Linked DNA regions of Drosophila melanogaster. Changing the gene in region 4 together with the main gene of any one other region gives a genetic interaction. Each region holds a gene or a part of one and is shown on either strand. Other genes may lie near its edges.

Evidence for each region.
Region 1: of Hipk (region 4) and pan, changing one enhances a phenotype caused by changing the other (phenotypic enhancement), as found in Drosophila melanogaster (one study listed by BioGRID).
Region 2: of Hipk (region 4) and upd3, changing one enhances a phenotype caused by changing the other (phenotypic enhancement), as found in Drosophila melanogaster (one study listed by BioGRID).
Region 3: of Hipk (region 4) and gro, changing one suppresses a phenotype caused by changing the other (phenotypic suppression), as found in Drosophila melanogaster (2 studies listed by BioGRID).

What each region holds. Positions count from the first base shown.
Region 1 is NC_004353.4:88,352-93,378, reverse strand, and holds the start of pan (pangolin), read right to left. Parts: upstream 3,025-5,027; 5' UTR 2,166-3,024; coding exon 106-2,165; intron 1-105. UniProt on the Drosophila melanogaster protein: Segment polarity protein. Functions together with arm to transduce the Wingless (Wg) signal in embryos and in developing adult tissues.
Region 2 is NC_004354.4:18,275,446-18,283,269, reverse strand, and holds the start of upd3 (unpaired 3), read right to left. Parts: upstream 6,038-7,824; 5' UTR 5,668-6,037; coding exon 5,665-5,667; intron 3,837-5,664; coding exon 3,387-3,836; intron 3,285-3,386; coding exon 3,087-3,284; intron 1-3,086.
Region 3 is NT_033777.3:26,040,080-26,047,772, reverse strand, and holds the start of gro (groucho), read right to left. Parts: upstream 6,038-7,693; 5' UTR 5,872-6,037; intron 5,694-5,871; exon of another isoform or gene 5,509-5,693; intron 5,133-5,508; exon of another isoform or gene 4,961-5,132; intron 4,954-4,960; exon of another isoform or gene 4,870-4,953; intron 4,779-4,869; 5' UTR 4,430-4,778; coding exon 4,394-4,429; intron 4,259-4,393; coding exon 4,164-4,258; intron 3,464-4,163; coding exon 3,400-3,463; intron 3,330-3,399; coding exon 3,147-3,329; intron 2,770-3,146; coding exon 2,737-2,769; intron 2,305-2,736; coding exon 2,110-2,304; intron 2,045-2,109; coding exon 1,946-2,044; intron 1,238-1,945; coding exon 1,181-1,237; intron 1,041-1,180; coding exon 864-1,040; intron 800-863; coding exon 528-799; intron 278-527; coding exon 1-277. Other genes in the region: E(spl)m8-HLH (enhancer of split m8, helix-loop-helix), read right to left, coding at 6,910-7,449. UniProt on the Drosophila melanogaster protein: Transcriptional corepressor that regulates transcription when recruited to specific target DNA by hairy-related bHLH proteins. Maternally required for neurogenesis; in the segregation of the neuroectoderm. Directly or indirectly interacts with Notch and Delta.
Region 4 is NT_037436.4:544,108-549,080, reverse strand, and holds the start of Hipk (homeodomain interacting protein kinase), read right to left. Parts: upstream 3,023-4,973; 5' UTR 2,883-3,022; intron 1,600-2,882; 5' UTR 1,303-1,599; coding exon 1,014-1,302; intron 1-1,013.

The DNA.
Region 1 (5,027 bases), on a different chromosome or scaffold from region 4:
TCAACAGTTCATTAAAGAAAATAGGTACTATTAGGAGTGAGCATCGACTTCAACAGTTTTACAAAGAAATAAAGGGTTTAACCAAGTAAGGCGAAATAAAATTACATGTGTTTTGTCTTGCTTCCAATACTTAAGTCGTATGGGGCATCTATCATTGGAAAAATTTCAGTTTTCATTGATCCGGCATTTCCCTGTAAAGCGCATAGGCGCTCTTTAAACAGGTTAGTTATGGAAAGTTCCTGCGCTGTTAAAGATGCATTAGCCGAAGACAATGTCTTAGTAATTAAATGGGAAACATTTTCAGTTGGCAATGCTCTAATTGATGGCGACGTTTTCAGCTGATTAGTGATTTCGTTGTCAACATTTCCCCTTATTGCATTCGATTTAAAAGAATTTGTAGTCAGAGTTTCAATGTGCCTTGCAAGTCTTTGTTTTCTTCGGTTTTGACTTAGCCCGAAAATTCCAGAAACCATTCCAGTAGAGCATCCACTATTACTACCAGTCGATGGGGTTGAAGGTGCAGTAGAAAACTCAGGAACAAGTAGAGGATCGGTAACGATTGACTCAGCTGAACTTTCTCGATTGTAATTAAACACAATAGGCAATTGCGTTGTGACATTATAATTTTCTGTAACATCTGTTAAATTTGATGCAGATGTAAGCAAGCGAGAGGTTTCAATGTTAGAAGATGAAGACAATGAAGCATATTCTAAAATAATCTCAGCTGCAGTGCTACAAGGCTCTACGTCTTTTTTGTGGCGAAAGGTTTGCCTTGTCGAATGCCATATGCAAGTGGGTGCTGAATTTGATTCTTCGCAATCGCTTTTAACACTATCACTGTAGGATTCATGAGGGGTGCTAGCAGAGCTGGATTGATGCATATTAACAGATGATGCGAGTTGTAATATTATATCTTCTATTTCGACCAACGTTTTAGGTTTTGCTGAGGTCAAAAAAAAATCGGACTCACTTTCAACATCTGGAATCTTAGAGTGCACTGCATTTGTTTTCTGTGGCAAAATACTTTCATTAGACAGTGCTATAGCAGCTAATGCCATGATAGTATGTGTTGGTGTAGATGTATATTCACCATCTTCCTCTGATGGGAGTCCTAATCGTTGTAAGCTGCGAACATAATAGAGCTCAGCGCTGCTCCATTGATTATATAATCGTTTTACCTCTTCCAGTAAGTTTTCAATAGACTTGCGATTTCCATTTAGTTGTCGTCTTACACTTTCCTCAAGGGCTGAATTAGAGCCATTATTTACTTCAATGTGACTTTGACGTACACTTAACCTTTTCCTAAATTTACCTGAGCTATCTGAGAGATTATCTAGTTTTTTTTTAATGTCGATAAGAATGTTTTTTTGCTCCCTGATAAAATCACACGTGTGTTGTAAGTCGTACCCATCTAGGGCTTCCTTGTTCGATTTTAATTTTGGTGAGTAACAATTTTTGTCGTCTTGTTTATTTTTTTGTTCTGCTCTTTGATGAACGTTAGAAAATTCAAACAAAGGGGGATCTACACAACTTATGCTGTTTTCGATATCTTTAATTAACTTAATATTGTTATTATTATCCTGCGAAGATGGGGTTGACAGAAGCTCATCTTCTCGAAGCATGGTCTTTTTAGATCCCGAATAATGAACCATGTTGAATTTATTCGAATGAAATTCCCGTTCAGCTAGCTGAGACCGAAGAAGCCGAGCGTATAAAAGTTGTGTGGCCAAAAGCTGCTGCTGCGAGCATGGCTGCTGATTTAGCATACTATTCGTATATATACAAGAAAACATTTCATTTCGTTGGCGAAAACTGTCATTTTGCCAATTTTCTATTTCTTCAGCGGTTTGCCAAGGCTGAGAAATTAATTTATTCGGACTTAAAAGAAGTTCGGAAAACGATGCCTCCATTCCGTCTGATCTACTTGATGGTACAATACAAACTTTATCCAAATCATTGCAGTTATATTGTTCTATTTTGTTGGCAGTTAATTGCGTATATTGGTTATTGAACCCACCATCAGGGACCTGGCTCGTTTTCAAATTGATTGAACATTTTTTATCGTGCTTTTTTTGTAGATCCTCATTGCTCTTCTTTTTCTGGTAACTGATTAATTCGTTTGAGTTTAAATTAATTTCACTATTAGTTGTTCCACAGTGTGGCATTATCGGATTTTGTGGGAGCCTGCTGTTAAAATCCGTTCGGTGTTAGTCATTCGTTAACTTTTTGTTTTATATTTTATTTATATTATTTATTGGATAAATTGTATTTCAAAATTTTAAACATTTCTATTAACCTTTAGAATCTTAGTTCACCTTGATGACTCAAATTTAATTAAATTAGTACTTTTTCAAGCACCATTGTACAACTTTTCAACATTTCATACAGGGTTCGTTGTTTATAAAATTTTCTTGCAATATTAATGAGATTTAGATAGCGTAATATTTATGTTATAATCCAGAATCCATGCGTTGTTTTCATTTTTTTAATTATATAGAAATCTCATTTTAATTAACGTTACCCTGTTGCTCGACTGTTGCAATATGAGGTCGTAATTTTTTTTTGTTTTATTTGTTTGTTAATTGTAATTTCCACATTGTGTTAGAGGAAGCCACAATTGTTTTACTTATTTAGTTCACTGTTAATATGGTCAATAATCGGTTTATATACTATCTCCATTTATTCCGACATATTTATATTACTAAATCGATCAACACTATATTAGTATTATTATGGAAACAAAAGATGACATCCTATTTTTAAAACTTATATTTAATTTATAAATACACTTTATATGTAAACACTCGATTTCATCATACACTTCGTGTTATTATTCTACTTGTGTTCTAATGGACAAATCGAATAAAGATTATTTTTTTCATTTGTGTTCATAAATTGTTCTTTCCGGAAATTGTTCAACTATTTTTAGGCATTGATTCCTTTAGATAGATTTTTCGCAAAATTGTATATACTGCCACAACAATTGTCTGATTTACTCTCTTTCGGTCTTTAAAAATAAAACTTAACGATAAAGGTGTACGACGCGGAACAAGAGAGACAAGGACGAGCCATCGGCTCGAAAATAACTGCGTGAGAAACATTGCGCACAAACTTTGTATCGAGCACATGTTTGTAACGAATTTGTAAAAAAAAAGTAATAGATACTATTAAATTTGTTTTTTTTTTCATTCTTAATTCATTCTTAAGAAATAATAAAGTTGTTTAATCTGTATTTTAAAAATATGTACTTCTGTGTAATGTGAATTTTACTGCTGCGTAAATTTACATTTTTACAAGTAAAATCGCAAAATGATGTATTTTTACAAATATTTTACATGAAAATATTCATAGCATCCAATGTTGGTACGACTCTTTTCAAATTTGACTTTAATTTACATTTTTTCTATACGTAATTCCAGATTAAAAGTAACCCATTTTTTAATTTTATTCATATTTTGTGTATGTATGTTAAATTTTTTGGATTTTACCTGGCAACATAACACGTGCAAAACTCAAGTGCCTTCAGATATAGATGGCGCCATGTAATTTCAAATCATATCTACGAATATATATATTTATATATATATGTATGGGCTTCAACAACGGAATACAGTAAACTAAACAATATTATATTAAGCTTGAGTTAAATTTAAATTTTCTAGACCACCTTAACTTAAAGCAAATAATTTAACATTTTGATTTAAAAAATATTATCAAAATATTTTTTATAAATTAGTACTTGAAAATTACATTTTTCGAGGATATATATTAGAAATTTATTTATTCACTGAAAACGGTTGAAAAAATCGGTTGATTCTAAATTAAAGATGTGTAAAACTTCTTATCACTAATCTTAATTGGCCAATTCAACTGTTTACTTGCTCATAATTATGTTCGTTAGTATTAATATGTCTTCGAAGAAAGTTTATTTTCGGTTGTCAACAAAAAATATATTTGTATATATATATATAAATATTTTTCGCTTTTCACAAAGAAGTTTTTTAGACAAATAAAAAACCTACTTTAATACATTTTAAATCCATGCATTTTAAAAAAGGCCTCTAAAGTCCAGTGACTCGACCTAAGAAAAAAGCAAGAGAGAATGCTATAATCGAGTTCCCCGACTATCAGGTACCCGTTACTCAGCTAGTGTGAATGTGAAATTTCATAATTTTTCTGGGATGTCAATAGATATTGAGGAGTAAAATGAAAAAAAATTTTAAAATTGTTCCAAGGCGTGGGAGTGACTGGTTCGGCGGCTTTAGAGCGTTAAAGTGAGCGTGACAAAAATTGAAAATCGATAGAAATTTACAAGACTAATAAATCTAAATAAAATAAAAAAAATATCAACACGTTTTTCAAAAGTGTGGGCGTGGAAGTTTTGTGCGGCTTGTGGGCGTGGCAACATGAGTCAACAATGTGGCGCTGCGTCTTGGTCTCTAGGATCTGTACGGTGAATATCAACCTACTAGCTTTTATAGTAAACAACAATTAAAATAGAAGTATGCAACAGCTAGATGGAAGCCTTTACGATATATATTCTCTTAGTATATATATTTAGTATATATATACATTTAGAATAGATATATTTAGTATATATATATATATATTTAGTACATATATATTTAGTATATATATATTTACTATATATATATATTTACTATATATATATTTAGTATATATATATAGAATACATGTTCCTGATCACTAGCAGAGTAGTTCCGGGAACTAACAAACCTAGAAATGTTAGGTTTCGAAATCATAATAGTTACACTTTTTGTTGAAATTAACATATATATTTATATATATTTTATATTTAGGATATAATTTTTGCAAGGATACAAACAAATGTTACATTTTCAGAAAATATATCTCAACAAATTTTACAAATATGTGTTATGTACTCAAAGTTTAAAAAAGGCTGACGACAGAGGTTTAAAACCGTTATGGATGTTTTTAAAAAATTAATATTAATAATATTTAATAATTTCAAAATTGTATACAAACTAGGTAAAGAAACCGTGCCA
Region 2 (7,824 bases), on a different chromosome or scaffold from region 4:
AAGAATCTATGGATTCATATTTGTACACCCATTTTATATATACTAGTTTTTAGATTAAATTAAGTGCTCTATTTATATCATTAACTGTCCATGAACTTGTAAACTTATATATTCCCAACTTAATCATCATAGTTACCCCAACCCATATTGGAGATCAACTCCATAATCCTTGATTATATCAGCATAGAATTGAAAATAAAACAATTATATGGCAAAGTATGATATTTTTAAGTATTTAACGCCTTAATTACTTGTATCGCCATGAATGAAGGTCGGGGTTATCTTTATTGAATAAACCTTTTTCTGCACTCGCTTGCAATAAAAATCCCCAATTGTAAAATTAAAGTATTAGAAACGGCGAAACCTTGGCGGAAATTGCGATATCCATATCGCATATGGTGTATATAGTCGATCCTATAGTTCGAATTTTTTGGGTTGAGTGAACTGAGCCCACCAGCCCCTTTGCGGACCCCCCCCCCCCCCCCCTCCCATCGCACACACACTCCCCTCATCCCAACGACCAGAAACTTATCTGGCCGGCGGCTGAAAGTGAAAATCAAGCCGAACGCTCGCGCCGCTCTCTCGTAACTGTTTTTTGAGTTCTCGGCTACGCTTCGGCTGGCCGCTCGTGACGTCGACGTTGGCTCTTCGTTTCATTCATGTCGCGCTCGCCGCATGCCGCCGCTCACCCTTTCCCGCTCCCGCTCCCGCTCCCGCTCGCTCTCGCTGGAGTTTCGGGGGAATCCACGGCTCTGTTTCATATGAATCACATATCGCGTATACGCTCCGCGCCCCGTATCCCCCCGATCAACGACCACAAACGGCGTGTGTGTGTCATTTGCAATAAACGAGCGTTGTGAACTACTCAAACATATTATCGTTAAGGTCATTTCTTCTTCCGAACCGATCCGCTGCGGTATCAGCGAATTCGTTGTTTTCCTTTTTTTTTTTGGGTGGGTATGAGCGAATGCATGACGTCAAAAGGCCGTCGATTCTCGGTATCGAAACGATCCATCTAAATATAGAGTTCTTCTATCAGTCCCGTTTGCCACCTCGTCGTCGGATCGGGTTCCGATCTGGGGGTTCCGTTTCACTCTGTTCCGGGGATGTCAACAATTAGTTGGCACAATTGGCATTGACGTAGCCGATATTGGCCAAATATTGACACACATCCCGAGCGGCAAGTTCCCGAGCTTGGTGCAGAGTGAGAAAAGGTGGATCGACTGGTCGAATCGAGTAGTGTGTGATCAAAGGTATCTACTGAAAAACTCAACACGAAAGAGTACTTATAAGCAGCGAAGGCAGTCAATTGTTACCCTCATTTTCTCACAGTGTGATCCGCGAGGCCCAGGTACTTTTCCCAGACTATGACGACAATTGAGAAATTTCAGCGAAAGCCAAACTTTGCTCATCGCCCTGAATAGACGATTGAGTGGAATCGCTGGCTAAGTGAATGAATGGATGAAATGGAATGGCAACTATGATGGGACTGGCTAAGTTTAGCAGAACGGGTAATTAAAAAAAAAAATAAAAACCAAATTCCCAGGGGGTGGCGACCTTTGAGACTCCACTTGCACTCTGAACGCGACTTTTGGCTGACTCGAAGTGAGTCGGCGGTTTTCGCGGATCTTGACCACACTTGAGATTTTTCGCCGCACCTGCGATCTCATAAAAGTATCTGTTTATGGCCACGCCAAGTGAACTACACTCATCTGGTTATCTGCAGATATTACTGTCCTATACGAAACTTTCCCGGACACCAAGGAATTAGCACGTTGGGGCAACCAAGCCGATCTCGACCGATTCACGAAGCGACATCCACCTCATTGAAATGTGGACTAGACCCTTTCTAGTGCACGGCGTTTGTCATACTTGGTCACGTATCGACTGGTACTCCGTGGCAATCATTTCGCAAGTACCGCCATCCACATTCCGGAGCCCACATTCTATATTACTTCCATTACTTCCATTATTCACTGGCCTATCGGTCACTCCGGGTTTTTCCTCAACTGGTCTTGCTCATTTCACCGTGTCAGTGCGAAAATATTTCCGAATTCCCAGACCCCGACAATTTGGCATTACTAAACGGTTCCACTCTATTAACATCAAACTGTCCGCAACTCGAGGGTCTCGAAATTGAAAAGCTCCATAATTTTCCTCTCGCCATAATTCAGATGTCCGTGGCGAATCCAATTCGAAATTTGATTAGCTTCTGTTTGTTGTTGTTTACTTGTCAAAAGTGTAAATAAAATGTGCCGCTTGATTTTATTTTGTTTATTCAACAAATTATCCACTTCAGATACGAATTGAGATTCGGATTGAACTTCGTTTTCAGATTCAGATACAGCTTCAGCTTCAGCTTCAGCCTCAATTCGGATCGATCCAATCTACGGATTGGCCATAAAACGTGATCGCTGGATCAAGGCCGGTTTGGGGGGGATCGCGATGGATCTATATAAACAATAATCGAAAAAAAAAGCGCGCGCGCCGTCAATTTGCTCTTAATCTTAATGTGGTTATGGCATCGATTGCTAATGTTTTCCCTCGTGCTGTTGTTGTTTGCTACCAATGCAAATCGACGGTTAATGGGGCGTCCCGAAATGCCGGCTAATGCTGACAAAACGAACGAGGTGCGATCGAAAAGTTGGCGGCACTTAAGTGCTCAATGCAAGTTGCTGTTGGAAGTGTTGTCAAAACAACTCCATCATCAAGCTAGCACATATGAACTATATACATATCTCAATCTTTATTTCCTTAGTTTCCTTCATACCCCTCTATATAGATTGATAAATTCCCTTAATCACGCAAACAAACTATGGCAACAACTCTCGCGGCTGGCGGCACGATTCCCTCGGATTCGGACTCATATGACCGCTCCACTCGCCATTAGCTTGTGACGGCCTGTTTGCACCTACGCAGGTGAACGGGGCGAACGCCTCACGTGACCCTCTTTTTTATCACCTCAAGCTCCCTGGCAACAGAAGAACCCCCCGCGAGTGTTTGATGTTTGTAAATGATCCAGTAGTTCTTCACATGACGATATATGCATACATATATTATGCTTATGGCATATGGACGACACTCACCTGTTTGCTAGTGAGATTCAGACGGGGCAGGAATCTGTAGTTTCCCTTATAGAATCGCCACTTGTTCTTCTCGACAATGTCCAGAGTCTTGGTGCTCACTGTGGCCAGCTTGTCCGCATTGGTGGTGATCCTGGCCTTGTCCTCGGCCTGGATGCCCCGCAGCTCGCGGCCCGTTTGGTTCTGTAGATTCTGCAGGATCTGAAATAGATACAAATACATATATACATATAGATAATAGTGTGTGAATTAGTTGTGCCAATTTATTTATCAGCTAAGAGCCAACTTTCGCTTGAAACTTACCCTTTGGCGTTTCTTGCAGCGTTTCGCCTTGCTGTGCGTTTCGTTCAGACCCGTGGGCTTCAGATTGCAGGTGTTCTCCCAGTCCAGATGCGTACTGCTGGCATTCAATTTCTGCTGGAAGGTCAGCCGGAAGTTGGCCGCTCTGGAACGCTTCTGTAGGTGCTTCAGGGGATTGGTGGGATTGATGGGACTGGAGGGGCTGTCAGTGGGCGGGGTGGCCAGGTGACTGGGCGCCGCTGAGACGCCACAACCGCCGCCGGAGAGGGCAAACTGGGACATGGCCAAGGCGAGTAAGATCAGTGACCAGTTCCTGTTCAGGCGTCGTCGTCGATCCACGAACGGCGGTTGCGGCTGCGGTTCCACTGGATTCCTGGTTCTGGCCGTTTTGTTACCGCTCCGGCTACCGCTTCCGCTGCTCCTGCTGACGTCGAGCGGGCGGTCAGCTGTCGTCTGTGGATGGAAAAAGTTCCGAAATAAGCTAAACAAAATTTATACAAACACGCAAAGCCCTCAAGATAACACAGTTTCATTTTTTTCCCACCCATAATGGCTCGAGTTTCACTACGACTTCTTGACGTCACATCTTCGTCAGACGTCGTCGGTGTTTAGCATGAGAAAAGTCTAGCAACAGGTTATACTATTATTAGTTACCAAAAAAAAAAAAAAAAAAAAAAAATCAAATACGTATGTTCGATTTTCAGTTATTTACATACTCAAACTTTGGCCGAAAAGAGGGTTCGGTTGGCCAAATGTATTCCCCCTGCCGAGGGACCAATTACCATAAGTCAAGACTAACGGACGCTGCGCGGACAACTGAACTGAACCGACTGGTTATATATTATCTTGGCCAACTTTTGCCAAATATAAACCAAAATTCGCGCACGTGATGGTACGGATGTGTGATTGTGGTGCGATTGTTTTGTGTTATTTTGTGTGTGTTAGTGCCTGAGTGGGCGAATTATGATGATTGTTGGCTGCTTGGGGATTCCCGCTGGACGCACTTATGCGCAAACCCATACGCACACATATAAATATAATCGCAATTGTTTGGGGGGCCCGAAGCATGCGCGATTTGTTATTATTATCGTTTGCGCTTTAGCTACAGCTACGGCCATTGCTAGTGCCGTCTTTATCTGGCTGAAATAATTATTTCAAATTAAAAATAAATTTCTTTATTTAGCCAAATTATCATGAATCATCGTGTGTCGGGTGGAGGTCGACTTGCAAAGGTAGTGGTGATAGTGGTGCCACCGCACTGGCGGTGGCGGTGCTATCTCATATTGTCTGGTGGGGTAGGCTCCAATCGCTCCACACGCCTCCTACACATCGAGCAGCATGGTCAACGAAACATTGGTCTTGCAAACTTTTGTGAAATTCACTCTCTCTTGCCGTGCGTTTTCGCTCTCCGGCTCTTTATCGCGGTCCCTTTGCCCGGACCTTGTCCTCCTGTCTGTGCCGAATCGCTAACGCTTGTAGTGACAACCGCTGACGCATCCAATCTTCAATTCCTGCCAAACACCAGCAACACCAGCACCACCAGCACCACCAGCACCACCAGCACCACCAGCACCACCAGCACCACTGGCACCACCACCCCCGCGGCACGAAACGTGTAAATTAATTTCACATGTTTCGCTCTTTTTTTGGCCATTTTTCGTCAAAAGGGTTTTTTTTTACAGTTGCAATAACTATTAAGTTAGTTGCATAAGTTGTGTGGTTGAATGGAACAATAAGTTCCCAATAAGTTAGAATAGTAATAGCAAATAAATGCAAGTCGCCCCTGTACGATTAGTCATACTCATCCGAAAATAACGTCCATAGGTTTTCAAATAACTTTGGGTTTTTCATAATTGTAATAACTTTAAAATGCTATGATTCACATGTGGAAAAATGAACTTAACATATTGTGCATCATGAATTTATAACTTGTTTTCAATGCCTATCACCAAACAGTGTCAGTGATTCACGAATGAGTTTCCCCCATGAGAGGCTGGAGATGATGGTCCCTTTCGGTTGTGAGCCCTATCCCCATCTCCAATCCCTAAACCCATCACACCTCCTCCTTGGGGCCAATTTCATCATGTGTGGGGTACGTGACACCTCACCTGACCATTGCAGCTCTTGGCAAGAACTCTGCGGGTTCAGAAGTATCGAGCGAAAGACACCTGTACCTATCAACAAACCGAGCACGCACAGGTGAATTCTCTTATCGGCAGCAGAAAAGGCAAATATAAAATCCCCGAAAAAATACGCGCCTGCGGTAGTTACTTGTACTTACCATTTACATAAAAATCGTTGGCTGGGAATTCCGCACAAAAATTCGTACTTGATTGACACGCACTTTGCTTTTGTAACGCTGTTAGTCTTTTCTTTGTGTGTATTTGCCGGAAAGAAGCTTCCAGAATGCAACGGGGAAAAAAACGAAAAAAAAAACTAACCAATAATAAAAGCGATCGCGATTTGGCGAATTTGGCGAATCAGGCGAATCAGGCGACTTTGTCGAATTTGTTGAATTTGTTGAATTTGGCTGCGTATCTTTGTATCTTTATATCGCGGCTGGACGAACTATCGCGTTAAGTGTCGACGCGCTGCCTTCGACTGTCTGCTATGATTTGATTCCGATTCGATCGAAGTCGAAGTCAACAGCGCTGTCGATTTCTTGCCGCTGGAGAGCGTGGAGTGGAGTGTTGTGGAGTGGATTGGAGTGGCTTTCTCGCCGTCTTTGCGTTGTTTTTTTGTACAATTTTTGCAGTAGCGTTTCTTCACTTTTTTTTCGCCTTTTCGCGTGCAGTGGTTATGTGTGTATATATATTTAGTTTTTTGTTTTTGTGGCCGGCGGAGACTGACTGAACTCCTCAGTTACTATGAGCATACTAATGAGGAGGCGGACGCCCAGTCCGCCGGTCATGTTCGCTCCGCTCGAATCGCCAAAGAAGCGGAAGAGAGACAGGGAGAGGCTCTCTCGGCTGTCATGAGTGTGCAATCGCAAGAAAAGCGCTCAAAACATTCGCCGAGTGCCAAAAACAACGCGAGAAAGCCATAAAAAAGCACAGCTGAGCGATAAAAAAAAACAAAAACGACTCATAGCGGCTGGGTGTGGACAATGGGTTACCCTGTACCCAGGGTACTAGCAACTAGGAGCAATAAGATACGCTGAAGAAAGCATGGAAAAAAGCAGAAGAAAAGTATAACTTTAACTAACTTTAGTTAACTTTAATAATACTAAATATGAGAGATAACATCTAAACTAGGCAACAACAAGTACAATCATCCAATAGCTATTCGATTGAGACCAATATTTGGTTAGTGAACTAGTAACAAATGTCATAAATATTCTATATTACGGCCATTCCGAACATAATAGATTTATTACCAATATTACCCAGTCGTAATGGGCGTGAAAAATACAAACGTTTAGTGAATGATTAGGCCAGCTAGATTTCAACACGATGAGAAATACTCACAGCTCTCCAGCGCTCCCCTTTGGGGGATGACACATAATCGGCGCACTGGAGTGGAGTGATTGATCGATTCGTCGACTGGGCCGATCTCCACCAGATAAGGTCGCTGGGAGAGCTATTCACTGTCTCTCCCGCTCGCAGATAAACAAAACATGTGTAATTTGCCTATTTGCCGGTCTCTGGGGAACGAAATGAGCGGCTACTTGGCTCTTATCGAATGACTTTCACTCGGCACACACTTCCGATTCACCGTTTCTCCGGATCTCCCGTTCTCCGATTTCGATTCCGAGACGATCGTTTCCGATCCGAAGCGAAACGATCCATTCCGTTCCGTTTTGTTCCGTTCCGAAGTAACCCCCGCAAATAGTCGGCAATTTATGGGGGTTGGCATGAATTTCAGTTATTTCCGTTCAATTTCACAAGAATATTACTCATACGCTCCGTCGGCCGCCGACAGCCGTCAATGACGACACGATTTGTTCAACCGCGAGCCGGGCTCTCACGCTCGCAGACACGGCGATTCATTCATGATTGCCGACTACGCTCCACCGGTCGACAGAATGCGGATGCCGAGAGGGGGTAGGCGCAACTGCGGGGTGGCGGTCTAAATTTCACCGCGCGCCAAAACCATGATCAATCGAAAAGTAATTGAGCACTCATCGTTACTCATGGCCAAAGTGGCGACGTCTCCGTTTTGTCGTTTACCGTTTACGGTTCACGCTTTGCCGCGTACCATGTACCGTGTACCGCTCACTGCCACTGCCACTCCCACTCGCCGTCGGCCGCCCAACGCCCACCGCTGGCGGCCAAACTTACGGATGGTGATCGGTGTCATGATTTGGCCGAGCTATTTTTAAACCATTGTACGAGGCACACTGGTACGGATCGGGTAACTGCTGCTTTTGATTTCGGCTTATCGTGTTGATCTGTCCAATTGGCGGATATTTCGAATTCGATTCAATTTGATTCGACTCGCT
Region 3 (7,693 bases), on a different chromosome or scaffold from region 4:
CACCGAGCGGATGTAGTTGTCGCGCTGCAGACAATCCAGCTGGCTAACTGGATTCTTGTTGCCCGGTTGCGAGATGTCCCATACCTTGACGCAGCCCTTGCCGCCCGTGTACACGTACTTTGTGGGATTAGAGATGGTTACCGCACAGACGACCTCTCCATGCGACAGCGTGTTGATCTGACGGGCGTGCCGCGGAATTCCAACACCCACCAACGCGTCCGGCGGGAACGGCACCGGTTGTAGACTACCCTCGCCGTTCATATGGAAAGAGTATGCACTGCAACGGCAAAATGTGTTTATTAATTAATGTAACCATTTAATTAGTGATAAGACGTTTAACGTTCGTAGAAATAGCGATATTATATACTCCTATCTGTGCCGATTCATACATTTATCATCTCCAATCGACTACATTGCACTTTGCATTTTAATCAGTTGCATTGAATTACTTTAAATACTTAATAACAATGCACGACAAAATTCCTATAGTCTACTTTTCGGACCGTAAATTGACATAAATGACTTACGGCTTTCCACCCGTTAGGGCCGAGGGATGTGGAATGCCATTGGTTCGCACATGGGCGTGCGGATCGTACGGCATTGGTGGCGGTCGTCCATAGGCTGGATCTGACGGTGGACGCTGGTAGGGATCGGCCGGCCTTTGATACGGTGCACCCGGATATCCGGCTGGCGGTGGTCCCTGCGGCATCATTTGTTTAGGATTAACGCCTGGCGCCGGAGCAGCGGCGTTCGGTGTCGGTGTGCGTGCCTTGGCGCCCGGTGTACCCGGCTTTTCCATCTAAATGAACGAGATTCAATTAGCTCTAACACTTTCTGGGTTCGACATTTGACATTTGGCTCACATCTTTTGTCTTGAGGCTGGGTGTGGAACGTGACGAACTGGAGCCGGAGCGTGAGGGCGGCCGTTCCTGCTTGATGCCACTACTGCTTGGCTTCTCCAGGCGCTCGCCATTCAAGCTTTCCCGATCGCGCACCTCCATAGACACGTGCTCGCCGTTGGGACGCGGTGAGTGGGATTCCTGCAAGGCACATGTATGCATTAAGTACTGTTTTTGCATTTGATGATAAATGTAATAGCAAAGGTGTGGTTTTTGTTTCTTTTTTTTTTTGGGGAAATTTGGGAGTGGTTGCATTGAATCTGGGCCGACACTCAACTCACCATTTCATTTGCAACATCTACGACTAAATCTTGATCGCTTTTCTCGCCTTCATCCTCCTGGAAATAATTTTGAAAAAAACACAAAAACAATATAAATCAAAATTCATACAAAAACCCACAACGAACAACAGCAATAACAACAACCACAATAGAAATAGTTAGTATCTAAATTTTAGGCCCTGTTCTGGTTTTCACATCATTTTACATGGTTAACAATTTAAAAACGCAAACAAACCATGAAGTTACGATTAGTGTTCCTTTTTTAAGTAAGACAATAAAATCAAAGAAATAAAACTAGTTAAAAGCATAGAAAATGTATATAGTTTACACATGTTCCACACTACTATTAAAATTTATAATCTAAAACAAAGTAAACCAGTCATAATTATAAATCATCTCCAATTTACATTTACACATTAGCTTTACAATTTGTGGAATATTAGAAACAAAATTCTATAAGTTGAGATACACCTTAAACCAACTACTAGAAATTGAAAACCGGAACAGGCACCATTAGATCGTGATGTTTTTTTTGTCTCTTAAAAATTAGCAATTTAGGTTTTGTTTAGCATGATTTTGGGGTAGAGTGTTAGCAGAATTAGACAACAACAATGGGTAAACTACGGAATTGAGTTTCTGGTGAGTTGAGAGACAGCAACAGCTCAGATGAGATGACAGTAATCGGTTATGGCAATCACCATCAACGCGATGATCTATGATACTACAAGTGTATAATGCTAACACTGAAAAAAGCTCGATACTCACTTGCAGTTTCTCATCTTTTCGACGCTTCGAGTCGTTCTCGATGTCCAGCGGCGAGCGTGTGCGATACTTCTCACGATCGGCCGGCGAAACCGAATTGCGCTGCAAGATCAGCATGAAAATTAGCTTGAAATATGCAGAATTTTGATCTAGGGCGTGGTACTCACCAATCGCTCCTCGGCGGCTGCTGGCCCCTCTAGACCCGTCGGCTTGATGTCCGGCCTGTGGTGTTCGGGCGGTTTGTTCAGCAGACCTTGCGGTCCGTGTGGCAGGCCCATGGTGGCGCCCAGGGCGCCAAACGGATTCAGTGCGCCCATCGGCTGAGGTGGTCCACCTGGCACCTGCTGGGCGTGGATCTGTTGCTGCAATGGAACCATGAGATCGTATGAAATCGGGCGTGCGCGTTGCTGGCTTTCGGAATAATGAACATCGTGCTTAGTGGGAATATGAAAGCATTGAAATGTGTGTACATATGTGTGTAAACACAACAACGACATTAACACTAAATGGTATTTGCCATATTTTTATTTTGTATCAAAATTTAATTTATTTATCTTTCGATTCATAAGCATAAGCAAAGACCATCTGGGGTTAATGGAAACAGCAACAACAATTGGCGGCATTTGAAGCGTTATTCAAATAATATAAACGTTGACAATCAGAAAAGGAAGAGGAGGTAGTGAGGCACTGGAGCTGTTGTTGTAGTTGTGGCAGTGGCACATTCGGCGGATGCAGCGGCAGACGGCAACAGTAAACAAACAATAAGAAATTAACTTGCAACGAAACAAACTTACTAAAAGTTGCTGAATTCCATGTTGCTGCTGATGCTGCACAACGTTGTTTGGATTGGATTGGTCGAATGCGAAATCATAACAAATTAGGAAGTAGAAAAACAAACTCAAATCAAATGCGGCCCAAGGAACAAACTAAACCGAAACGAAGTTCCCACTTAACGGTTGCCACATTTATGATATGTACTGTTTCATATATACGTTAGATTTCTTATTTTTTATACAATTTTCAAGATATTTGTTATTCTTTGAAAGACTGTATTACAAAGTACCCGGCAAACTAAATTTCTCTGCCTTTTCGGTGTGGCAACCGAATTTCCAATCGGCCATGCCCCCATTAGTGTCTATCTGAGAATGGCTGAAACCGTATTGCTGCTGCCGCAGAATCCATCATCCGTCCTCGATCGACTTACCCCAATGATCAGGTTGAGCTCCTGCATGGTCACCTGCTTCGCCCGCTCCACCGCCTGCAGCACTTGCTGCTGGTGGTCGGCCTGAAGGAATGGAAGTAGCTGGTTGATCAGTGTGTTCAGCCGCTTGGCGATCTCGGTCTGCTTGTGCATCTCCACGTTAAGGCCATAGGACATCTCGTAGTACTGAAAGTTGGAAGGCAAGCCGTGGCATTAGCTAAGGGATCTCGATAATTTGCGGATCATGACGACTTACCATAACATAATGGCGCTGCATCTCCGTCTTCTCGTTCGACAGCTTCTCGCACTCCAATTTAATGCTGGAATTCACAGGAAAAGTGATCAACGGGCAAATTAGTTGGACGACGGAAGCGAACTGAATTCAAGAACGCAAGGAAGCGGCGATTGTGGAGCATGGAGCATTGAGTTGCGGCTGGGGCGGCGCAGGTTAATCCTATGACAGCGGCGCATATGGCGCGCCAAACCGGTTTGCTCAGCTTTTTGTTTTACTTTTCGCAAAACGCAGACGCAGCATCCATCCACACTCACACTCGCACACTTCCATACGATGGCGGTTAAGGCTAAGGCTTAAAATGTGATTTCTTTGGGGCATGTTATTGTAAAGGCTTCTAATAGGTTTAACCTCAACTTAATTATTGGGGCCTAATCTCTAATTGCGTATTGCTTAACCCATGAAAACTATGCCATTGGATTATTTGAAAGTGTGAAGAATTTTACTTTTATCTGACATAAATTTGCGATCATAGCAATTTTAGTGGGCCAATAGTTCTTAGGGCCAATATTCAATGTAGTTTTTTCTTGACATAGCAATTACAAAGATGACATTTGCAGAGAGTGTCATTATGATGGCAAATATTTCCTTGCAAATCTTTATAGTAAAGATTTGCCTTGTATTCACAATTATAATGATAAACCTTGTATATCCCTTGTAAATATGATTCGCGTAATGTTTACATATGTAAACATTGCCGTGTATAGAGTATTCCACCGGATACTTGCCTGTGGTACTGCGCCTGCAGGAAGTTGAACTCCTCCTTGATGCGTTCCAGTGTATCGGCGATGGTGAACTTGATTGGACCCTGAGGTGGTGGTCCCTATTTAGATGTGAATAGAGGTGGTTGGTGTTCCGTACGTGGGCGGCACATGGCGCGGCGTGGTGGAAAGAGACATAAACACAATTAGCACGGATTCGGGGGTCAGAGGTGGGACCCACTGTCGGGTGAACTTACCCCGGCGGCGGGGTGGCGCACCGGTGAGGGATACATGTTGTTAGGCTGGTATGTTGCCGGCTAGAGCAAGAGCGATAGTTCCGAGGTGGACACCGATTTGCCGGAGCGGAAGTCCTGCTGCTCCTCCTGCTGCGTACGCCGCTTCCTTCCTTCCGGTTATCCCTGAGCACTCCACTCCTGCACAGAAACTCCTTGCAAAACGTGGACTAATATCTATCTGTTTGCCAGCGTTTTATGGTACTTGTTTTTTAGCTATTCTTTTTCTTCTGTTTTTTTTTTTAATAATATTTTTCGATGGCAGTTGATCCGCTTTATTAGTATTCCCACAAACGGAACCGGCACTTAGTGGCACTCCATGTCCGGGCTACTTCGCATTTTGCATATCCTGCGAATGGAATTTTACAACAACATATTTGCTTAGTTATGCTTTTTCATATTTTTGCACCATTTTTTTCGATACGTTCGCACGCACGTACATACACGCACACACACAGGCGCGCTGAGCCAGCGAGACACACGCACACTAGCACAGGAAACGGGAGCGAGGGTACGAGTGTGAGTGTTTACCGCCGAAAAATCAAGCGCACAGTTGCATGTGGCCCATGAAATTGTTACGCAAAATCACTGTTTGATTTTCGGGGGCCGCTGGACGCACTAATCCGATTGTGCAGTTAACCGGGCGGGATTAATCCAATGAAAATAAAACACTTTTCTTTCGTAAAGGCAGCACACTCCGCACAAACAACATGCGAACATATACAGACAGACTGCAATTAAACAGGGTTGCCATGCCGTTTGAAACGCGCACAGCAGCAGAAACACAGTTTGCACATTACTTTGATGTTTATTGTTTGTTATTTTTCCGCTTATCCGCATATAATTCACTTGCTTGGCCCTTTTCAATATTTTTCAATTGTACAGCCAATATATTTTTTATGATTTGCCCTGGAGGCGGCAACTCTGTTCGGCGATACGGGCACATACATAGAAACCAGCGAGTGGCCAAATCACACACACACACTCACTCACACGCGCGCAGCGCAAAAGAAAAATTATACTGTGTCCTATACAAAAAATAAACAAAAGCAATTAAAAAAGCGAGATAATGGCAGTACCAGTTTTATGCCCCGGATTAGCACGCTTTATCGCAAGATGTTTCTATGTTTTGCACTTAAATCTCTGGTCCATTTTTTACAGTTTCTTCGTTTTCGCCACCGAAAAGTGGGAAAATTATTTTTTGTAACTTTTCGCCCGTATAAAATTGCCTGTTTCTGCCGACCGACCGCGAAGTGTCTAACATTCGTGTATGTGTTGGGCAGCTTTGGCGGCGGCGCTCTCTCGCTCTCTCACAGGCACACACACACGCAGCGGCTCTCTCTCCGGCTCTACTACACGCGCACTCGCTGTACAAACGCGGCTTGTAAATGGCGTTCTCGTCTCAAATATTTTTGCAACAATTTCGGCACGCCGATTTTCACCTCGGTAGCACTTGGTATCCTCGCCGATTGGGGCAGCTGGCAATTGGGTGGCTTTTGGGGCATCGGCACGGCCCGTTTCTATTTATAATTTCCTATTTTCCTATCCGCGACACACAGACCGCGTCGGTCTCAGGTATGCAATTTGCGCTATCGCCTATCGATGTGTCGAGGGTCTGTTATCGCGGGCCACTCGCTTCAGCGGCGCAGTGTTGCATGCGCCAGTGTTAGGAAGTGCCTGCGCTGAAATCGAACTAGTTACACTCTGCGAAATAATAATCCTAATGTTCAAAGAACTATTACGTATTAAATTATTTATTTACAAACACTACGGTTGCAGAACAACTAATTAAATAGATTCCATGCTAACACTCATTTTTTGCCATGATCTTGAAAAAAAAGTGAAAAAAGTTCCGCAATAAATACGTAACTTAGATCTGTACATGTTCTTCAGGTGCAGTTGGCGCGCTTTTTAAAAATGAATAAATAATTATTCAGTTTATTATTATTCAGTCTGATTTGCTATTTTCAATCTTGTGAACCGTTAAGGACATTACCGATTCAAAAAACTTAAAATTATCAGTGCTAGTTTTCTAAAACACTTTTATTTTAATTAAGTGAAATATATTTAATTTATTATTAAATAGATATAAATAAATAAATATAATTTATTTATATTTATAAATAAATATTTATTATTATAAAATAGATTTCACTTCGGTCATTGCCAAAATAGATTTCCATTGTCAGAGCAGAGATATATTATTTGATATTTCCTAATTGGTAATAATTTAATTACCAATAAGGATTCCAATTGCCACCAACTAAGGGATTGGTCCCTTAGATCCCCTCCCAACATCCCAATAAAGTAAATTGTTTTGATATTTGTTTAAATTGGTTTATATTTGTTTTGCTAATTGCTTTTTTAATTTTGCTATTTTGTTGCCATCACAGTTGGGCTATCACAGATGCGTTGTTGGTTGGTTCTTCCATTCCCATTGCCACTCCACCCTTACCTTCCTGCCACTTAACCCCTTGTTTTTACCAGGGGCGCCACAAGGGCTGCTGCATGGGCTGTGGCGAGGGGGCGGGGCTGTCGCAGTCGCTGTGATATCCGGAGGAGGCGGGGCTGAGCGGAGCCTTGTCCATTGAGGAGCAGTCCATCGAGTTCTGGATGAAGTCGGCGGCGGACTGTGCTTCGTGGAATTGCTGCAAGTTCTTGTAGACGCGTCCCAGGTGAGTCATCACCGATTTGCCCAGGTCGACGCTCATGCCAGGTGTGGAGGCCATGACACGTGACACCTCGTTGACGGCATTCATGTAGCCATTCTTAAAGCTGTCCAGGGGGAGGGATTGTTCTTCCTGAGCCACCTTCTTTGGTGTCTTTTGCTGGCGCATGAAGATCACCGCTGACTCGAGCATCTCGGCCTTGTCCATGCGCAGGATGCCATCATCACCTCGTAGCTCGGCGACAAGTGTTTTCAGGTTGTCCAGGCACTTGTTCATGCGGGCACGTCGCTGGCGCTCCAGCATTGGCTTCTTCACCTTCTGGTAGATCTGGGTCTTGGTGGTGTATTCCATTTTTGTTTTGGTAGTAGGTTACGTAGTTTTAAAAATTTTTGAAAAATTTTGTATTCGGCTTGTTGCTGCCTGCTCGACGGCGTAATCGTGAGTGATATTCTGCTCTGCGAGGTCCCGTCCTTTTATACCGCTCCCTGGTCCCTGAAATCCACCCTCTGATACGCACCTTTCCTGCCCTCTCTTTCGCTCGCACGGCTAAACGCCGGTGTTGTTGTCTTTTTCACAAGGAACAGCTGCAACTTCG
Region 4 (4,973 bases):
CAACTGAAATATTTTTATAAGTCGCAATAAGCGAAAAATAAATAAAGCGAAGGAAACACTGAAAATACAGTCGAGCAAAGAGGCGGAGCCGCTCAAAAGCGAAAACTTAGATTGGGAGACAATTGGGGTGGTAATTGCGTCCGCTGGAATTTTCAATGAGCTCGGGGAACAGGGGTGCGGGGGACCTTGTGAGATATCAAACAATAACTCATACTATTCACAGAGCAGATAATGTGAATGAAGCCAGGCAAGTCGAGCAGCGAAAACATCATCGCAAATTTTAAAGGGATTATGGAAGGGAATCTTCTTCAAGCGCCAAGACAGACATGCTCGAGCATGCAAGCGTAATCGCGGATAGCGTGGAAAATCCAAAGATACCAACCGAAGTACAAAACAAAGTCTAAGAATGTCCACAAACCCAAAAAATACAAAACGGCGACAAACCACCATGCGAATTATCGCTTCCTTGCACTCTCACCAACCAAACCAAAAATAAAGAAGAAAAAAGTTGCCATGGCGTCTATTGTGATAATCAACAATAAAAAGGGGAGGCGCTGGGGGAAATCGGGCGATAAGAGTGCCCAGAAGAGGCAGAAATATGGCACGGCAACCAATAATAATAAATATTGCGCCTAGTATTACTAAACAACAGGGCGCATTTGCCCACGGCGCGTGTGTGATAACGATAACTCAAGCAAATTAAGCGATTGTCACAATAATCGATGAGTGCTATCACCACGGGAAGGGGCAATCAACCGGACATATTACCCATGATTCATTCGTGTGGTTGCTGAAGGTGCTTAGCTAAGCAAAAACTTATCCGATAACTTATATTTATCCGAATCCGATTTACACTGAAAACTGCCTGCATAACATAATATATCGAATTCACATGTTATCGACATCGAATTCAAACCTTTTGACACCTATAGGTGGGGATTTCGAAAGCCTAGTCACAAATAAAGCTAGTGCACGTCTGTAGTAACTATTTGGATGGCTAATAAAAAACTCACCTGTTTGACGTTTTCGCTTGCTGGTTGCTGCTGCAGCTACCGATGAAGTCGATGCGGATGTTGCAGGTTGCCTTAGGATATGCTGCTGTTGCTGCTGCTGCAGTTGTTGTTGTTGTTGTTCCTGGTGACGCGTCCCGTCCGTAGTTGCCGTTACCGTTTGATCGCCGTAGAAGGACGTCGCCCTGACTGAAAGTCCCGCTCCTAATCCCGAACAGAATCCGGATCCCCCGCCCCCGGCAACGGCGTAGTCAACGAAATCGGACGCTTTTGGGGGGTAGGACGTTTTCATTGGCGCATGCTATCCCGCTCGACGTGGTCGGCTGTCTCCCTTGCACTCAGTTGGCTTGCATTGGGGTTTTTGGGTTCCGTTCGCCTTTTTCCGGCCGCTTACAAACTTATGTTTACAAACTATGTTTGTACAAAACGTGGCGGCGAGTCACTGGCGAATTTCGAGTGACACCGTTTGAAATTTCACGTGAATTCAATATTTTAAGGCTTTTAAGTAAAATATTTTACGAAGAGGATATATTTACAAGAATATGCTTTTTTCAAGACAAATACAATTTATGCCAAATTAAAAGAGAATCTGCAAGTAGAGGGAGAACACAATAGCCATTAGCATGGTCGAATAAAATCACGTACCAAAAATATCATATCACCACACTCGCACACCTGCCCGGCATTCATACGTTTATATTTTAATTCGCTTTTGAAACTTTCCATTCAAATGTGTTGTCCAAATATTGACAGTGGAGACTAACTAGTGAACTAAATAACTTTATTTTGCTTTAAGTAATTTTGTAATGCCTTGGAAAGGCTTGTACAGCAACTTGGTAACTTTATGTTTCTTGCACGCAGAACTTCCTCATCTAGGCTCTACTGTAATTGTTTTGTTTTTTACTTGATTCCACTTTTAAACTACGCAAAAAGCGGCGTGAAAGAGAGCAAACTATAAAAACAAGACAAACACATTTCGGGTGTCGAAAAATGAAAACCACAAAAGAACGAAAAAAGCAAACAACAATAAAAACATTTGGGAGATACGCACTTGGCCCCGCACACAAACAACACGCACACTAGCGCACTTTTGGCCCACACGGATACACACCACGAAACCCTTTTCTACGCACTTTGCTGAAAATTCTACGAAGCCCCCTAAAATTAAACCTAATTGGCAACTTTCGTTGCCAAACCCAAAAAACAAATCCACAAAAAACAACAACAAATTAAAGCAAACACAAGCCGGTTCCAAAGTTATTAAATGGATTGCTCAGCGAGTGGAAAAGGGAGAGACAGTTTTGCTGAATGGATTTTCGTTCTGCAGCTGGCGAGTAAATGGATCCTACGGATACCCTTGCCTAATGTAAAATCGAAAAACGTAGCTCAAAAGGTTTTGATGGCCATTATCCGCACAATACCGATTAGTAACTTGATAAATTCACAGCTTTCATTACAGAGATGAACAGTGAGAATACATATTTCAGATGGGGCTTTGGGAAACACAATATCCCTTCGACAATTTACACGCACTCTCTAACTAACGTCTAATACGACGGCTCTTAGTTAACTACGTCGCCGAGAAGAGAAGAGGAAGACGGAGAAATCCGAAACCGGGCTAAAACAAGTTTCTGAAAGCGCTTCTTCTTGCCGCTGTTATTGTCCATCATCTCATTTTGGGTGTAGCCAAAATTAATATTTATGCTCGTTGATTTGTTTGCGGGAAAATTGCAAAACATAAAAGGTTTTCTTTCGTAATATTTCACCGCACAGCACCGCACTCGCACACACACTCACACACACACAAGCAGAGTTCACAAACACCTGCCAGCGAGTCCGGTGTTTATTTATGCATCTTAATTTGTTTTGCACCTTTTTCGCAGCAGCTTCGCCAGTCATATGTATATGCAGATATATATCTTGGCTTTCTGTAGCTGCCACTTCCTCGACGGCCGTGGCTGTATCTTCTGTGGCTGCAACGTCCGCTCGCGAAGCCGTTTGTGGAGACTCTGAATCGAAGAATTGAGGCACCGAAACTTTGTTGCCACAGAGCCGAAAAAAGAGAGCGGACACTCGCCGCTCTTCTCGGCTTCGGATTCTTCCAGGCGCCTGCGCAAGCCCGGTCTCCGCTCTTCCACTACCCACTTCCTGCCGCTCCAGAGAAGGGCTCCACCCCTCAAATTGCGACTTTTAGGGCTCTGCCCGGGGGACGAATCGCGAAATTATTTTTGCTTACTTTCTCTGTGGTTGTTGTTTTGGTTTTTCCTTCCCTTGCTACCCTATAATATCCTGGGTATCCTCTGCTTCGACCTTAACGTAAATGTTTAGGGATTTTCACTTACTATACTATACTATATAGTACTGTCTCTAAACTGGTCTTATCTGTACAAATTTATGATCCGGTATGAATAATTCCAGTAAGGGGTAATCCTTCGTCGGATAGCCGATTAAGTGCTTGATTGCTTACGTGGATGTCCCTGTTCGGGCGCCATCCAAAAGTGTGAGGGGCTCCATTTGACACGTAAGGATTTGCGTCGGCAGCAGAAAGCAGAAGGAAGGGGCGGAGAAAGCCAAAAGGGAGGCCAAGAACCGGCAAAGGGGCACCTTGTGAAATAGTTTTTTTTTTTTTTTGTTTTTTGTTGAGGTGGGTCGAGGAGAGGGGGTTGCGATGTGCGAATGGGCCAAAGTGGTTTAGTTGGGCAGCCGCCGGGTAAAAAGAGGCGCTGAGGAAAACTTGCGTCGTGGACAGACTTAATTACACACATATAGAACGAGATGGAAATGGCTGCGTGGATTGAACACATTTTTAGCCGAGCCAAAGAAAAGGTACGGGGGGTACTTTTCCACCAAAGGATCAAAAGAGAGCATATGGTTTCCAGCATGCTGAAAATAAGGAATGGAGAACAATTCTTAGGAAAACCTAGACTTGAAAAGCGCAACCAAACAAAAGGTAACTAAACTGGTGAATTCCCTATTACTCTTATGTAAATAAGCCAGCGCTTCAAAGAATTGCAATTTCCCCCAAGCACAAAAGTAAAGAGAAGGTAAGCCTTAAACATAATATTATATTTTTGTTTATAATTATGGTAGTTAAGCAACATTGTAATGGGCGGTGGCCTTTGTCATTAAATCTGGCATGGACTTTCGGGGTTTATGTAGCGCAGCAGGATGCGAGTTCGACAAGTCTGTGTCCCCGGGGGTTCCCCGCAGAAGACTTGCTTAACTGCAGCTTGAACGGGTTCTGCTTTCGGTGGCGACGTCAGCAGTCAGTCCTCTGGACTGTGCATCCACACCCTTCTTCTTTTCTGCAGCGACAACGCCACAATTCAATCAGCAATATGGTTGGCAGCCTGGGCATCAATTACAGGCCAATAAAGCTGGGTCCCCACTTACCCCCCACCTCCTAATCTCATTTTCCAACAGCTGTTGGGGGCGGAGACCTGTGGGAGGGACAGCTAACATATGGAAGCTTCGGGTTTTCATTTTTTCTCCCTGTAAGCTCTAATTGACAGCTGCCAAAGTGGGCGAGTGGGTTGGGGGAATGAGGGTTGCGCCGGGAAAACCCACAAGCAGTAAGCCTCACCCCTCCCCCTCCAATCAACTCGTTAAAGTTGTGCAACAATTTCCCTTTAAATGATTTACATAGGAAACCCATGAGGGAAGTGTGAAGGAGAGGGGGCACTCTCTCGATCTCTCTCTTTCGGTATCCTTGAATGGAGGAAAAGAGAGAGAGAGAGTGGAGAGAGCAACCGGCGGCGGTTTCTTTGATGAATCGACAAACGCTGATTATGATGACGCAGCGTCACAGGAGGATAAACGAGTGACAGAAGAGAGAGAGAGAGAGAGAGGAGAGAAGAGAAAGATTAGGAGAGAAGGGATAAGGCAGTTATTTCCATTTCCGCCTGCCAGCTATTGTTCCTCTTTTGTTTTGATAAATGCCAAAAGAGTTGGCAATAAATCCCA